Canis lupus familiaris: one gene and its partners. The protein of the gene in region 3 purifies or fractionates together with the protein of the main gene of each other region. This does not show direct contact. Links are inferred from orthologs where the notes say so. Each region holds a gene or a part of one and is shown on either strand. Other genes may lie near its edges. The genes, in order: RHOA, VDAC1, ATP1A1 and EGFR.

Region 1 (4,299 bases), on a different chromosome or scaffold from region 3:
ACCCAGGATCAAGTCCCATGTCAGGCTCCCTGCATGGAGCCTGCTTCTCCCTCTGCCTGTGTCTCTCATGAATAAATAAAACCTTAAAAAAAAAAAAAAGGACAAAGCCTCCTGCCTTTCTAAATTGAGGGGCTTGCAGTAGAGTTGAACTCAACAGACCTGCTACTTTATCTCTGAGATTTTGACAGTAGCACCACCAGCCCCACAGGTTGCTGAATAGCCTATCAATGGGCTGTTAAATTGGTATCATTCGAAGCCTGAGCTCCACTTGCAAGCCTTTGAGCTTGCTGCAAAGGCCACTAAACTGGTGGACTCCTGCCCTGAGAACTTCCTAGCCCTGTCCCTGTTCCCAGCATAGATGTGTCTTCTGCCTGCCAAGCATGGGGTTGACATGGGCACAGATTTACTTACCACGAAGTGAAATGCGTGGAGCCATCAGGTGTGGATCCGTTCTGGCCGCCCAGACCTGGGGGCAGGAACACATCCAGAGCTGCAGCAGGCTTGGGGTGGGAATCTGAGCAGGTATCAGCCCAGATCAAGTTAAAGGCCAGTGATGTTGTTTGATGGAGTCTTGTGGGGGCCTTAAAGGGACTAGTGGTATTGTCTGATGGAGGTTCAAGGGAGCGGTTAAAATGTGATGGGTGGTCCGGGATTTCTGGCATGAAATGGTATGTTGGCATGGGTCAGGGTAGAGCATAAAGTTGTGATGAGGTTCTTAGGAGACCAGTGGTAGTCTAGGGAGTTCTGGGGAGCCCAATGATGCAGTCCGGTGGGGATGGGGAGCCTCACCTGGGCGGTGATACAGCCCTGTTACCGTGCTCCCGTAGAACCCCCACGCCAGCTGGATGCCCAGGAGACTTATCACCAACCACAGTAGCAGCAGCTTGAAGAGGGTAACGCGCATGTCCTGCGCCTCCCACTCCCGCAGGAACTCGCTGCCCAGGGTGCCCAGTGTGCCCAGCACCAAGGTCGGCAGAGACTGCAAGGACTGCCCAGACCAAGGCTCCGCCATGACTGGCCCATGCCCCACCCGGGACTGTCACTATAGCACCCACTGCGCAGGCGTCTGGTCTTCCGGGCCAGGCCCGTTAATGCGCACGCGTAAACCAGGCAAGGCGAGTCTACTTCGCTTGCGCGAAGAGTTGGCAGTTTGGGGAGGAGTACTAAAACCGCGCACGCGCACCTAGCCCCACCCTGCTTACTTAAACGATGAGTGAGACGAGGAGCATAAAATAGCAACCAGGTCTTTTATAGCCCCGGAGTTCCCGTGATGCCCCACGCGGCTGCAGTGATTGGTTAAGCGCCCTGCTATTAGGGCGTGGACGCGCTCCTGAGCAATCGTGGCTGAGCTGTAAGTGTGCGCGCGTGCGCGGGGCCGCGGCTGGGGCCGGCTCGAGCCCGCTGGCACACGGGGGCGCGCACGTCGCTCCCCGCCCTCCCGCCGCCGACCGCCCTCGCTCGCGCTCCCCGCCCGCCGCCCGCCGTCCTCCGTCGGTTCTCTCGTTAGTTCGCCGTGGTCTTCTCAGCCACCCGCCCCAGTCTCCGAGCTTCCGACTCGCGGACAGGCGCACTCGGCGCAGAGAGGCCGGACTGCGAGTCGTCGCCTGAGGTGAGCCGAGAGGGTTCTCTCCTGGCGCCGCGGCGCCCCGGGCCCGCCCGCCGCTCTTCCGGCCTCCCGCCCGCCCGCCGCCCCGCCGCGGCCGCGCCCCACCTGCTGCTCTCAACCGGCTGCCCCTGGGCCCCGGCCCCAGCCTTCTGGCCGGGGCCCCGCTCCCCAAAGCGACGGCCCCGCCCGCGCAGTCCCCGGAAGCGCGCCCCGCGGCCTCCCGCGCCCCTTCCCCCGCCCGGCCAGGCCTGGTGGAGCCCAAGACGCCCGCCCGCGGTCCCTGGCTCTTCCTCTCTCACGGCCGTGCGGGGCAGGGCGGGGGCTTCGAGCTGGGCCCGGCGACCGCGCGGTGCAGCGGGTCCCTGCGAAGCGCGCGTGGCTGTCGGGAGTTGAAATGGGAAAGAAACTCTTTACAACTCCATCTTGGCTTTTGCATTGAATATGAAACATGAATCACCGTTTTATACGGTGTGAAGTCCAGATATGTTTTGGGTAGATTTTCTTTTTAAATGCAGTAGTTTCGGAGATTGTGTAAGTAAAGTAGTGTTGAAATCTTACGGGTTAGGATTCTTGGGTATTGAGAAGGGAATTTTCCAGTTGAAAACACTTTTTCATGATTTAAACTCTATTGCATTGAAATAGAGTATTAATTTGCAACTTTGCTTAGTCTAAGTTATTACCTTGATTGGAATCCCCTAAACATCTGTCTTTAGTTACCGATTGAACCCAGTTACAAGCTGTCTTTATTAAATAGCACTGTTTGCACTCAAATCGATTTGGTCAAGACAATGTGCAGTAGTTTATGGTGGAAAATTGGTATCCTTTTTTATCACAGTGTTTTCCACTTGTGTTTTTTTAATGGTCCTGATTTAAAGTTTTTACCAATATTGGTGATATGTTTCCTTCTTTTGGTGTTTGTCTTTGAAGTAAATGTTTTTTTATTCAGGTATGCATTTTATAGCCCTCCCTGCCAGATCTGAAGGGGAAAAATACTTAAAATTCTTTAAAATGTTATTTGTGGTGAGAATTTTTCAGTCATTTAATTTTTCAACCACTAAATGGTTGAAAATGGTACATATATGTACCATTGCAGGATTGTCACTTTAGACATGGCTAAATTGGTAGAGATACTGGTATGAGCGTTGGGCGTGACATTGTTTGGCCTGAAAGTACAAGACTAATTCTTAATTGTGAAGGAAAACTTAAAGATCTTTTGATAAATTGTTTTTTTGGTAGTTCCATCTACTTTTGTAGATGAGTGGTGGCCCTTGGGAAGCTAACAAAATAGAAGAAAACTCACTTTGAGTCAGAGTCTAGGCTTAGAGTTATGGCTTCTTTTCTCATAAAAAATTTGTACTGGAGGGAAGAAGAGAATAGAAATCCACTGACTTTTTCGTAGATCTAGAATTTTAGACCCAAAGGTATCTTCAGGACTTACGGTCTAACCCTATTTGCAGATGAGGAAACTGAGTCTCAGAGACTTACATAAATTTCCTAAGGTCATTTTTCTGGTCAGGTGCAGGCCAGAACTCTGAGGTATTCTTGTACTCTGAAACAGCTTGCTTAGAGTTAAGTAAAATTCAGGACTTATTTCCAGTATTTTCTTCTTTTACATATTACTGATTTTATATATGTTTTGAGAACCTGAAAAATTCATTTCTAAACAAACTCAGTTCTTTAGCTTTCACTGCGCTCTCCTCCCCGGAACTGGATGGTCCTACAGCAGTTGATTGAAATACATAAATGAATATACAGAGTCCCTGCTTGGCCTAGTTTTAGCTTTAGGTGTTTTGGGGGTTTTGTTCGCTTGTTTGTTTGTTTGTTTTTTTTAGAGATTTATTTAACCATTTGAGAGAGAGCACGAGCATGGGGAGGTTTTGAGGAAGAGAGAGAAACCCTAGCTGACTCCTCCCTGAGCTCGGAGGCCAACTTTGAGCCGAATCTCACAACCTGGAGATCATGATCTGAGCTGAAACCAAGAGTCTGATGCTCGACTGAGTGTACCACCCAGGGGTGTTTGGGTCTTCTTGAGGGAACAACTTCTTCCAATGTGAGGCCCAGACTCCCCTGCTCCAAAGCCCAACATAATTAGGTCAGACCAAGATGTTATAATGTGACTGAGGGCTCTTTTGCCTATTAATTTGAGGTGGGATGGTGAGAAACTGCACATATTAAGTAAATAGTTCTGTGTATGTGTGGCAGTAGTTTTATCGTATTCTCTTGTCCTGGTTGTTCTTAGAGGAGAGTGAAAACAGGTAGATATTGAGGTGGAATTCAAGCTGTGACAGGAGGAGGAGTTGCTACTTTGGGTTGTTTTAGTTCTAGAGCTGAGAGATTTATGTTAACTCTCAGAAGACAGACTGATACTTCAGCTTCTAAGAGAACGAATTTGGGCTTGCTGAGCTTCTCTAGACAACACTTTGGGTTTAATTGTATTTGGCTGCTAGTGATAATGATAAATGGTACATAATCACTGGATTTTAATCACATATATTTGTACTTTAAAAGGTACTTAAAAGTTATTTTACCTTCCTGTAGCACTTAGTTTTTAGTCTTTCATGTCCCTGGCTAGAGGAATTTTGTTTGCACCTACATATTAATGTAACTAAATTTTAAACATGTGTGTTAATGTGTCTTACTATACTGTGCTCTTTGGGGATATGCTCACTGTTAAGTACTTGTGAGATTAATAA
Region 2 (4,339 bases), on a different chromosome or scaffold from region 3:
ACCCCCTCCCCACGGTCAAGAATTTTACTCTGGACAATCTCCAGGGTCAAGCATTTTACCAATCCACTCATCAGAAAGAGGAAAAGCACCAGGCCCAAAACCTTAGGAGAATCCCGACTCACTGGGGTCACCCCACCACCACCACCCTGCAGGCCCAGAAACACCAGTTCTACAAGTTTCCCACAGGATGTGAAAAAGTCACATAACGAAGGTAATAGGTTTAAAGCAGATTTCAAATTAGGAAACAGATCTGCGGGCAGCCCCGGTGGCGCAGTGGTTTAGCACCGCCTACAGCCTGGGTCGTGATCCTGGAGACCCAGGATCGAATCCCACATCGGGCTCCCTGCAGGGAGCCCGCTTCTCCCTCTGCCTGTGTCTCTGCCTCTCTCTCTGTCTCTATGAATAAATAAAATTTAAAAATCTTAAAAAAAAAAAAAAAAAAGGAAACAGATCTGCATCTCAGTGCTCCAGGGCTGTACATTCAACTGCGAGTCTTTAAATATCTGTGACTCTCTCCTAAGCAAGGGTATTTGCTGGAAGTGAATGAGTGTGTGTCCCTTAGGATGTCCAAGATCAAGAAACTCTGGTCTGGGCCTGCATCCACTACATATGCCCATTCAATAATTTCACAAATACTTAATGAGCACCTACTCTAAGCCACATGCTGCCATCGTAAAAACTATCCTTCTCTCAGTAAGGGTGAGTTGCTTCTTGGATAAAAAGCAAGATTGCATTTGCCCCCACAGACCCTTCTCAAGTACCTAATGTGGGTCAAGTGGCACCACCCCAGGCGCTGAAAACAAAGCTGCATAAGGCTTAAGCCTAACCCTGTAGAACTCAGTCCAGAGCTGGGCTGGAGAAACAAGGCAAGCCCTGGGCAGTCTGCCCTGGCCTTGCCAACAGTGAATGCAGAAAAGGAGGGATCCATTCTCTATCTCCTCCAGAGAGGTGAGGCTGGTCAAGGGAATGGGTCAAACAAGGCTAGGCTTCCCTCAGCTCTGCACCCAAAGGCAACTTCCTGCTTCAGCCTGACCTTGTCTGTCTATAAACTTCTATAAGGATTTTTCATGAATTATCCTGAAAATTACTCAGTGCCCAGTATACAAGTGCTTAGTAATAATGTTTAAAATAACAGCAGCTGGCTGTTTATTGAACCCTTTCCAGAACACCACGTGGAGTAAAATGGTCTGCAGAGGATGGGCTAAATCCTCCCAAAAAGCCTCAAGGCTGTCCAGCTTTCCCCTGAAGGCTTCGTGTTGACCAACTCATTTTATTCTTCCCAAAAACCCAACGAGGGAGAGCTGTAACTGCTCCTATTCTACAGATGAGAGCACTCAGGCCTGCTGAGTGTGACCTTGGACAAGTCACTGGGATTGCAAGTCCGGAAATCCAAGGGCTCCGAGCCAGTTTCGTGAAGGCGCCGCCGCGCTCCGTGAATGAACGAGCAAACAAACCGGGAGGCGCTCCAGAGGCCAAGGAGGCCACATCCCGCTCCCGCCGGGCCTCCCTTCCCAAGGCCTAGCCCCCCGCCCGGGCCCTAGAGGCCTAGGACCCGCGGACAAGGCCGGGCGCCAGCGTCCCTGGGCGTGCACCCACGGGCCGGGCAGGGCGTGCGGGGCCGGGGGCCGGGGGCCGGTGCGGGGGCCGGGGCCGGGGCCGGGGCCGGGCTGGGCCTCGGTCATCACAGCGGCTCATCCCCGCGGCCACCGCATGGCCCGCGCCGGTCCGTGGGCCGAGCCCGGCGAGCGTGGGTGGCGGGCGGTCCCCCGCCGGGCCGCGAGGGCGGGACCCAGGTCCAGAGGGCGCCGCCGGCAAAGGTCACCGAGACCTGCAGCCGGCCGGGCCCTCACGCGCGGCCCGTGCCCTTCCGCCCGCGGTCCCCGCGGTCCCCGCAGGCTCGAGCCCCAGCCGCAGGCGCCCCGGGGCGTCCGGCCGCCCGCTCCCCGCCCGGGCCGCCCGCCGAGGCCTGCTGCGCCCGCCGCTGCCCGCCCAGGCCCTCGCGGGGCGCCCCGCTCCCGCCCCGCTCCCGCCCCGCTCCCGCCCCGCTCCGCTCCCCCGCGCCGCCCGGCCCGGCCCGGCCCGGCCCTCGGCCCCCCGTCCGCGCGGCTCCTCCCTCCACCGCCTCCCGCTCAGCTCCCGCGGCCCGGCCCGCCCCCCCGGGCGCCTGCGGGGCGCGGGTCCCCGGCCGAGGTGCCTACCTCGCGGGCGGCGGCGGGCTCGGCGGCGGGCTCGGCGGCACCTACCGCGGAGGCTGCTGCGCGAGGAACCGAGCGCACGGCCGGGCCGAGGGCGGGGCGGGGCGGCGCGGACGGCGGCGGCGCGGACCCGCCCCGACCCTGCGCACCCGGGCACGCGAGCCCCGCCCCTGGGCCCGCCCCGGACACCGCCCAGGCCGGGGCCCGGTCCCCGCGCCCGCGCCCGCGCCCGCGCCCGCCGCCCCCTCCGCGCGCCCTCGGCGCCTGCCCCGACGCGGTGCCCCGGGCGAGTGCGGGCGCGCGGAGGGGGGCGGCGAGGGCCCCGGCGCGGGACGAGGCGGCGCGCGAGGGGTGCGTGCGCGGGGACACGCGTGCCGGCCGCGGCGGCCGAGGGCCAAGCGCCGAGCAACCCGGGTGCGCCGAGCTTTTGCGCTCCAGAGTAGCAGGCACTTTCCCCGGGAGCGAGACTGCCAGTGGCCATTTTCGGAGCTTTTGCGAAGTGAAAACAGCAAACCGCGCTTCGGCAGAACGTCCCCCGCTGGGAGCCCGAGAGCGCAGACGGGAGGCGGGAGCCAGCCCGGGCCCCCGGGGAGCCCCCGCCCCGCCCGAGCCGGCGGCCTCCGTCACCCAGAATTGCGCAGAGCCTCGTGGCCGGTCGGAGGGGCTGCGCGGCTTTGGCCTCCGCCAACAAACGTTCGTTCTCCGCGCCTCGGGGCCCGTGGAGGAGGCAGGGGCTCCGGGACCCCGACGCTCGCTCACCACCAGCTGTGGCGCCGATTAAAGGAGCAGGCGGCTGGGGCGGCGGCAGAGGCCAGAGGACAGGCTGCTGGGCCGAGGGCAGCGGGAGGAGGAAAAGGCAACTGACTGGTGTTCCGATGGGGCCCGGATGCCGAGAAGAAGGGCACCAGCTTATGGGGTTGGGAAGGGGGGGGCGGGGGCGGTGCAAAGTGCACCGGGCTCTGTAGGGGTCTCTGGTCTAAGCACGCTAAACCCCCTGAGGTCCTGGAGCGTGGAGCGCTCATGCTGGAACTCTCCCCAGGCCCACGAGCTGCTCCATGGCTAACTGGAGGGCTCAGAGCTTCCCAGCCTGGTCATTCCCGCTCCACACACAAAGGCCCCGGCACACTCCTGGAGAGGGTGAGGCAAGGAAAGCCACTGAGTCACCCATGAGCGCAGGAAAGCCGCCTTTGGGAGGACAGGACCTCAAGGAGGCAGGGCAGAGCCAGATAGCTCTAGGGGAAGATGGGGCTCCAGAAATGTCACAGGAGCTAGGAGCAGATATCTCACCCTGGGTCAGTAAAGCCCAGGTGTGATGCTTGGACCAAAGGTCCTAAGTGTTCCCCTCCTCTCCAGCACCTCCTTGCCAAACCACCTTTCAGGACCCTGATTGTGGGAAGAGTTCCCCATACCCCACCTGCTCTGGGTCCCTTCTGGGGCTCCCCCAGGTGTCACTTTCAGATGAATCACACGAGTGTTCTTTGACTCACTGGCTGTGTGACTCTGGGCAACTGGGCTAACTGCTCAGCTGCAATTTCAGAGGGTTGGGGCAAGTTTAAAATGGGAAGCAAGCACTCCAAAAACACTGAAGAAATCTGGTGCAACATGGCATCCTCAGACCCTAGTGTTGACTGCTCCCCACCACAGCCCCAAAGGAAGAGCTGAACCAGGCAGCAGGTTATGCCAGGCTTGGCTCTGCCACCTCCAGCCCCACCTTCCTTCTTTCTTGCCAGGTTCGGACTGGAGGGGGGGCACCTGACCCAAGAGCAGCCAATCAGGTCCTCCCTTGCAATTATGAGCTAATAAACCCAGGTCAGGTATAACAGTGTTTCTTTGGAGGGAATGACCCTTCTCTCTCTCCAGTCATTCCATAAGCTTTGATGGAGCTAACTCCATCCCTGACTCCAGGCCCTTTCTTGGACCAATCAAAGCACTGCACCCTACTGGCTACAGGATGGACCAATGATCTTCGTCAGACTTCAGGGCTTTTGAAATAAAGACTTGCGCTGGGGCACCTGGGTGGCTCAGTTACTGAGTCTGCCTTTGGCTCAGGTTGTGATTCCAGGGTCCTGATACCAAGTCCTGCAACAGGCTCCCTGCAGGGGATAAATAAAATCTTTATAAAATTTTTAAAAAAGACCCTAAGA
Region 3 (3,561 bases):
AGGGAAAGGGCGGGACGCCTGGGTGGCTGAGCGGTTAAGCATCTGCCTTGGGCTCAAGGCATGATCCTGGAGTCCCAGGATCGAGTCCCTCATCCGCTCCCTGCATGGAGCCTGCTTCTCCCTCTGCCTGTGTCCCTGCTACTCCCTCTGCCTGTGTCTCTGCCTCTCTCTAGTATCTCTCATGAATAAATAACATCTTTAAAAAGTAAGAAAATAAAGGGGGAAAGGGCAAGGACTTTATAATGGAAGGTTCACAGTGTCAGCTTCCTGGTATCTGACAACTTTTATACTCCTGCCTCTCGTCCCCAGGTTCCTGCTATCTCCCTGGCTTATGAGCAAGCTGAGAGCGACATCATGAAGAGACAGCCCAGAAACCCCAAAACGGACAAGCTTGTGAATGAGCGGCTGATCAGCATGGCCTATGGACAGATCGGTAAGCTGCTGCTGGTGACCTTGCACCCCAACTCTCTCCACCCCCAGGGCTTGGTTCCTGCTCTATCAGCAGTGGAACATGACCTCTAACAGGTGGGCAGTGAAAATGCCCTTTGATCCTAAATGCTCTGCCTACTGGCCTTCAGGAGAAGCCGGCAAGGCCACTGTGAGCAGCCCAGGCCTTTGGATTAATAGGTTGTAGTACTGTGAACACTTGGGTAAAATGGAACAGATAAGAACGTTGTAGAAATAGGACAGAGACTTGTCGACAGTTGCTGAGAAGAGGTTGGCTACTGGCCGGGAAGACCTAAGTTTAACAAGGAAGACTAGGTCCAGAGCATAGGACGAAATCTTGCCCTGAGGAATTCAGGATAGTGTGGTGTGGGATCAGAGGCCAGAGGAGAAGCGTCCTGAAAGTGGTAGGAGGAGGAGAAGGGTTGGGTCAGAAAATTCACTTATTTTGAATGTGTGAAAACTGAGATGGGAAAATAGTCGTGTTGTATCAGAGATTAAAAAATAGGGATGCGTTTTTCCCCCCTAAAAAGGCTCTGCCCCCATAGAGATACATGACCATGTAATAGCAGTGGGTGTTTCGGGGGTTTCAGAGTAAGGCCTGTGTGTCTTCCCCTTTTAAAGCTCTAAAAAGTGATTCAAAAAGAGAAGAGGGCACCGAGTGAGGGCTATGTCCCTGGGATCCTCCATCCTTCTAGTCCTCTCTCAACCAGTGACAGCCGCCCCTAAGTCCCCTCCCAGGCTTCCTGCAGCACTCAGATGAAGTATGTGCAGATGCCCTGGAATCAGGTTAGAATTGTTTTTCCACCCCTGCAGGTATGATCCAGGCCTTGGGGGGCTTCTTCACTTACTTTGTGATTCTGGCTGAGAACGGCTTCCTCCCGACCCACCTGCTGGGCCTCCGAGTGGACTGGGATGACCGCTGGATCAACGACGTGGAGGACAGCTATGGGCAGCAGTGGGTGAGTGAGGGCCCAAACAGTGGGAGCTCCTTAGGCCCCCCGAGGACAGTGGCCACTCAGCCTCTGGCCATGCAGGCCAAGAGCCGGCTCACCTGTCTGCCTTCTGTGTTTCAGACCTACGAACAGAGGAAAATCGTGGAGTTCACTTGCCACACGGCCTTCTTCGTCAGTATCGTGGTGGTGCAGTGGGCTGACTTGGTCATCTGTAAGACCAGGAGGAACTCAGTCTTCCAGCAGGGGATGAAGTGAGTAGAGGACACTCAGGGCCCTCACGGGAGGCATCTTGGTGATCTCTAAACTCCCCGAACCCAATACATGGCAGTTTCTGGAAAATCCCCTCTTTTGGAACAGATTTAGGAAGCAAGATGTGATTCTCCGGGTTTTTTTTTTCATCTGCCCGCAAGTTCCTAAGTACAACTGACACATAAAGACCTTGATCTGTCTTTTAACACATAGCATTAGAAGAGAAACATCTGATTGCATTCTTAAGCTTTTTCTTCCCTTGATTTTAGGAACAAGATCCTAATATTTGGCCTCTTTGAAGAGACGGCCCTTGCTGCTTTCCTGTCCTACTGCCCTGGAATGGGTGTTGCCCTGAGGATGTACCCCCTCAAGTAAGTTGCTCCTCTTCCAGCTCCGCAAAGTGTGAGAGAAAAGTGGAACTTCTCTCATGATGTGCACTAGTAACTATTACTGTTAGGAATTTGGGGTGGCACATCCAAGAATTTCTCTGGCTGGAAATTAGGAAGGATTGACCAGTGTCCTTAGGCTTTACCTGGGATCAGGCCAGACAGGCTCTGGTACCTTGGGATTGCTCACCAGCTAACTGCATCAGTGCTCAGGCCACCTTCAGCAACTGTCTAGTTGTCATTAGAGGCAGACCAGAGAGGCCTAGGGCTTGGAATGGGTTCAAATCTTGATTTACCTGCCTAGTTCCTGTGTGTCCTATCACAGGCCCCCGCCTTTGGGCCTCGGAATCCTCTGTTTTCAAAGGAAGAAGGTGGGAGAAGCAGGCTTGAAGTAGATCACAGTAGAGTAGACCAAAGGAAGCTGACCACTAAGTCTTTGCTCAGGATCAGACTAGCCTTTTTTTAAACACAGTGAAGGACTCTGTGGTAGACCCTGTATGTGAAAAATTCAGGTTTATCACAAGTGCAAATTCCAGTAGTTTTTTTTTTTTTTTTTTTAAGATTTTATTTATTTATTCATGAGAGACACAGAAAGAGAGGCAGAGACACAGTCAGAGGGAGAAGCAGGCTCCATGCAGGGAGCCTAATGTGGGACTCAATCCCAGGACCCCAGGGTCATGCCCTGAGCTGAAGGCAGATGCTCAACCACTGAGCCACCCAGGCGTCCCTCCAGTAGCTTTTTGAAACAAAAGAGTGTGGTGGTATCTGCTAGCTGGTTGAGGTTAAACAGTTGTAACTTGATTAAAAGATGCTAAAGTACAAAATATGGCACCCCTGTAACATGACCTTTTGATTCAAAAGTCTCAAAAAAAAAAAAAAAAAGAAAAGAAAAAAAGTCTCCCCACCCTTGGGGCGCCTAGGTGGCTTAGTTGGTTAGTTGTCTGACTCTTGATTTCAGGTCATGGTCTCAGGGTCATGGGATCAAGCCCCACATAGGGCTCTGTGCTCAGCAAGGAGTCTGCTTGAGATTCTCCCTCTCTCACTGTGCCCACACCCCCCATCCCCCAACCCACACATACACCCCAAAACTCTTAAAAAAAAATTCTCCCCAGCCTTGCTCTCAGATCCATCCTACCTGGCTGGTAGCCATCACCTCCTTCCACTGACCCCATCCCTGAAGTAGCCAAGCCCCATGAGCCTCCCTGGCATCTTGTTGGGTCTGTACAGATATCCCCTGTGTGCAAGGGTAGCCTGGCATCTAGGGTCTCTCACTATTGTCCAAATGGTCTTTCTAGCCTTCTCTTGTAGCCATCCAAGCTTCTGTTGGGTGAATTCAGTATTCTTTCCCCGCATACATATTTTGGTAAGGATGCTTCCTCCCACCCCACTAGTTTGGATAATCCTTCAGGACTGGTTTCCCGGGAGCTTGTCCCATGTGGTCTCACCCTCCTGGATTGGTGTACTTGCACCCCTTCTTTGGTATTACTTGTCATTTCTGTTCCCCACTAGCTTATAATCTTTAAGGC
Region 4 (3,561 bases), on a different chromosome or scaffold from region 3:
GTCTGTTTGCAGCAGTAACGATTGCACCAATATTTCTTACTTGTTGAAGCAACACTGTCAATTATACAAAGGACTCTGTTAGGTGACCGAGCGCACCTGCTAAAGGATTCCTACAGAGTTGGACTTGGGCTTCTCATCCTGTTCCTAAATATTTCTGGATCCGTACTGTGGCCCAAGCGCTGAAAGCGAACAAGAAGGATGGTTCCTGTAGCCATCTGTAATTCCCATGGCTCTTCTCTCTCACAAAATTTCCCCTTTTCTTTACATTAAAAAACAAAAAAAAGCACCTCTGCCTCTCTCTATCCTTCAATTTTACTTTCCTATTAATTTATTCTTAGTCATTATTTGAGGTCATGCAAAAAGCTTGACATCAGTATCAAGATTCCCACAGAAGCAACAGATTGGACTTTCTATTGATGGCAAATAAATTTAACAATGGTTATGTTATATGCTTGTTTATTTCTTTGTCCATGGTTACATTTAAAGTTATTTGCACAGTTTGGTATTTGTTGAACATGAAACAAATTAACCGGGAAATGTAATTTATACTAGGATATTTTGACATGCCAGGAAGAGTAATTCCAAAGAAAAGTCTAAACGGCTGTGGTCTTGGCCACACAAACCATTTCTGACTTTTCCATTTGTCTTGGGAACTCTGTGTGGCTGAGAAAATTATCAGGTATTTCCAAAAATAGAGACTCTCTAAATTAGTGGATAGGATTAAGTAATGAAAAAAGTTTGTTCATTTCCTTTTGTGATTAACAGTTGTCAAGAAATAAAGACCAAAGAAAAAGGGAAAAAAACAAAAGGATAAGTTTCAAAGTGAAGTAACTGTAAACCTATAAAAACAATCGCCTTATTATTATTTTTTAATGAAAACAAAAGGGGTTAAGAGATAGCCTTACCCCTCCAGAATGTTGCACTTTTCCACACATTCCTTGCCACGGCTGACGTTTCGGCAGGACACGCAGTCTCTCGGCCCTGGGCCCCAGCAGCCTTCTGAGGAGCACAATGGATGGCAGACGTGGCCTATGGCCTCTGAGAAGACAGACCGAGACACAAGGGGTCAGCTATGGCACAGTGACTGGAGGGGCCACTTGAGACCGCTCCTGTAAGTGGGATGCTGGGCTCTCTGTGACCTTGAGCTGCATGGACATGGCGGGGTGGGGTGGGGGGGCCTGGAAGAAGCGATGACACACAACGGGCTTCCAGAGGCCAACTACAAGTTCCTCTTCCCTGCGGGGAGTCAAGGGTTCCTGGCCTGGAGCTGGGTAGCATTTTGCGGATGAATGTCATAGCTGATGGAAACACAGGGAAGGTTTGTGGGCCTTGCCGTGTGCTGGGCACCATGCCAAGAGTTTTACATGTAAAATTCCATTTAATTCTCTCCCAAGCAGTGAGAATCACTGAGGAAGCCGAGGCCTACACATGCTGAGTAAACTGACCACAGTCTGGAAGCTGGGAAGGGCTAGAGTCAGGGTGTGACCTCAGATCTGCTTCTCCCAGTGACCAGGTAACGGGCACGCCTGGCTTCAAGAGCTGCCTGGGACTCTAAACTCAGACTAGAAAATGTCAGTGTAAATGTTCATTCTACCTGCACGCGTGTGCACGTGTGTGTGTGCACGTGCGTGTGTGTATGTGTTGCTAGCTACGTTCATCAGAGGCTAAAAGGTAAGATAATGTATACAAAACTCAGTTCTGTAAATTATAAATAAATAATTGATAGCTTAAATCTCAAGGCAAATCCATCCTATGACATGTGAGTGATTTGGAAACAATTCCAATGAACTTTACACGATAACTTCACATTTAGGAATATACAGATTTCTTTTAATCTGCTTCTTCAGGAATGAAAAATGTAACTTAAATGTTTGGGGATATTCCTTTTTAAAATAAATTTTTTTAAAGGATTTTATTTATTTATTCGTGAGAGACACAGAGACAGGGAGAGGGGCAGAGACACAGGCAGAGGGGAAGCAGTCTCCCTGCAGGGAACCTGATGCAGGACTCGATCCCAGGACCCCGGGATCATGACCCGAGCCAAAGGCGGATGCTCAACCACTGAGCCACCCAGGTGCCCTGTTTGGGAATATTCTAAATCAAAAGAAATGATCCATGTGAACCATCTCCACAATCAACCAGAGTGATTACTTACTGCAGGCTTTTTCATCTTTGTTGTTTATAATTTTGGTTTTCTGACTTGAAGTCCCAAAGAGTTTCTTCCAGTTTATTGTATTTGCATAGCACAATTTTCGGTTTCCAGAGATGATCACATCTCCATCGCTTATCTCCTTGAGGGAGCGTAATCCCAAGGACGTTATGTTCAGGCCGACGACCGCCAGAGAAAACTGGCCACTGTCGCGGGGAGAAGAAACATAACGTTGTTAAAAATTATGAAAAGATTATATCACTAAAAACGTTATTTTTATTTTCTGGACCACCTTCTGTTTACTACAAACTGCCTCGCACTGATTGTAAGTCATATTGCAGGAAGTCTGTATCACAACTTCTGAAAATTATAAGAGTTTTTTTTTTAAAGCTCCTCCAGGGAAAAGCCTGTTCCTTGTTCATTTAGTATCTTTAACCCCAGTGGCATTGTGGGGGCTGAATAAACGTTAATATCATTATTATATGCACTGCATTTTTTTTTTGTGCCTGGGAATAGAGAGCATGTTCTAACCTCTCAAATATCCAAATACGCTTCAAAAACCATAGGTTCATCTTTTCCACCCATGCATCCACCCATTCATCTATCCATCTATCTACTCACTCATCAATCCGTATACTTGTCTATGTATCTATGCACATATGCATCCATCGATCCTTCCACCTCTCTATTCATCCATCCATCACCCATATCCATTCATCTGTCCATTCACCTATTCACCCAACTATCTATCCACTCATCTGTCCACTCATCTATGCATCCATGCACCTACCCATCCATCCACCTTCCCACTCATCTATCCATTCATCCATGGATTCATCTATCCATTCATCCATCTATCCCTCCACCTGTTGATGCACTGATTCATCGATCTATCCATTTACTGAACAATCATTTGAACCACCCAACTCTGTGCTAGAACTCTATAAGGCTATCAATAGGTTTCCATCAAGTGATTGGGCAAAAGTCATTCACCCTGAAGGGAGGGAAGTCCTGAACAGGAGCAGGAAGGCAAGAAAGCAGCTGATGGGTGCTGAGAACCAGGAGCTACTGCTGGAGCAGAAGCCTGGAAGAAGTGTCCGGTTACTTGGACACCTTGAGCTCGGTTGTGGTCTGCAAATGATGGAAACCATAGGAAAGAGACTTGCATTTTTGGGAAGCTCACTGGACACCAAGACAGGGAATGGACTAGTTGAGACAGCACCGAATGAGGAGACATCATACACAGGATGACAAAAGTTTAACTTGGAGATTCCTCCTCTCTCCTTGTCTCTGTTTCTCCCTCAACCTTTTCCTCCTCCTCCTCCCTTTCCACAGCCTGCTCCTGAGGAAAGCGAGGAGCCCTGTGTAGGAGACCAGCAGCACCACTGTTTTAGAAATTCTCTCATCATGTG

Evidence for each region.
Region 1: the proteins of ATP1A1 (region 3) and RHOA purify together in Homo sapiens (affinity purification with mass spectrometry; 3 studies listed by BioGRID and IntAct, with this or other methods). This does not show direct contact. The link is inferred for Canis lupus familiaris from reciprocal best matches to the Homo sapiens genes ATP1A1 and RHOA.
Region 2: the proteins of ATP1A1 (region 3) and VDAC1 fractionate together in Homo sapiens (co-fractionation; 3 studies listed by BioGRID, with this or other methods). This does not show direct contact. The link is inferred for Canis lupus familiaris from reciprocal best matches to the Homo sapiens genes ATP1A1 and VDAC1.
Region 4: the proteins of ATP1A1 (region 3) and EGFR purify together in Homo sapiens (affinity purification with mass spectrometry; 4 studies listed by BioGRID and IntAct, with this or other methods). This does not show direct contact. The link is inferred for Canis lupus familiaris from reciprocal best matches to the Homo sapiens genes ATP1A1 and EGFR.

Annotation. Positions count from the first base shown.
Region 1 is NC_049241.1:40,230,111-40,234,409, forward strand, and holds the start of RHOA (transforming protein RhoA), read left to right. Parts: upstream 1-1,440; 5' UTR 1,441-1,609; intron 1,610-4,299. Other genes in the region: TCTA (T-cell leukemia translocation-altered gene protein), read right to left, coding at 412-514, 790-1,012. UniProt on the Homo sapiens protein: Small GTPase which cycles between an active GTP-bound and an inactive GDP-bound state.
Region 2 is NC_049232.1:22,230,469-22,234,807, forward strand, and holds the start of VDAC1 (voltage-dependent anion-selective channel protein 1), read right to left. Parts: upstream 2,844-4,339; 5' UTR 2,823-2,843; intron 2,299-2,822; exon of another isoform or gene 2,199-2,298; intron 1-2,198. UniProt on the Homo sapiens protein: Non-selective voltage-gated ion channel that mediates the transport of anions and cations through the mitochondrion outer membrane and plasma membrane.
Region 3 is NC_049238.1:54,370,188-54,373,748, forward strand, and holds part of ATP1A1 (sodium/potassium-transporting ATPase subunit alpha-1), read left to right. Parts: intron 1-309; coding exon 310-433; intron 434-1,260; coding exon 1,261-1,406; intron 1,407-1,520; coding exon 1,521-1,651; intron 1,652-1,918; coding exon 1,919-2,020; intron 2,021-3,561. UniProt on the Homo sapiens protein: This is the catalytic component of the active enzyme, which catalyzes the hydrolysis of ATP coupled with the exchange of sodium and potassium ions across the plasma membrane.
Region 4 is NC_049239.1:6,117,810-6,121,370, reverse strand, and holds part of EGFR (epidermal growth factor receptor), read right to left. Parts: intron 2,356-3,561; coding exon 2,156-2,355; intron 1,039-2,155; coding exon 906-1,038; intron 1-905. UniProt on the Homo sapiens protein: Receptor tyrosine kinase binding ligands of the EGF family and activating several signaling cascades to convert extracellular cues into appropriate cellular responses.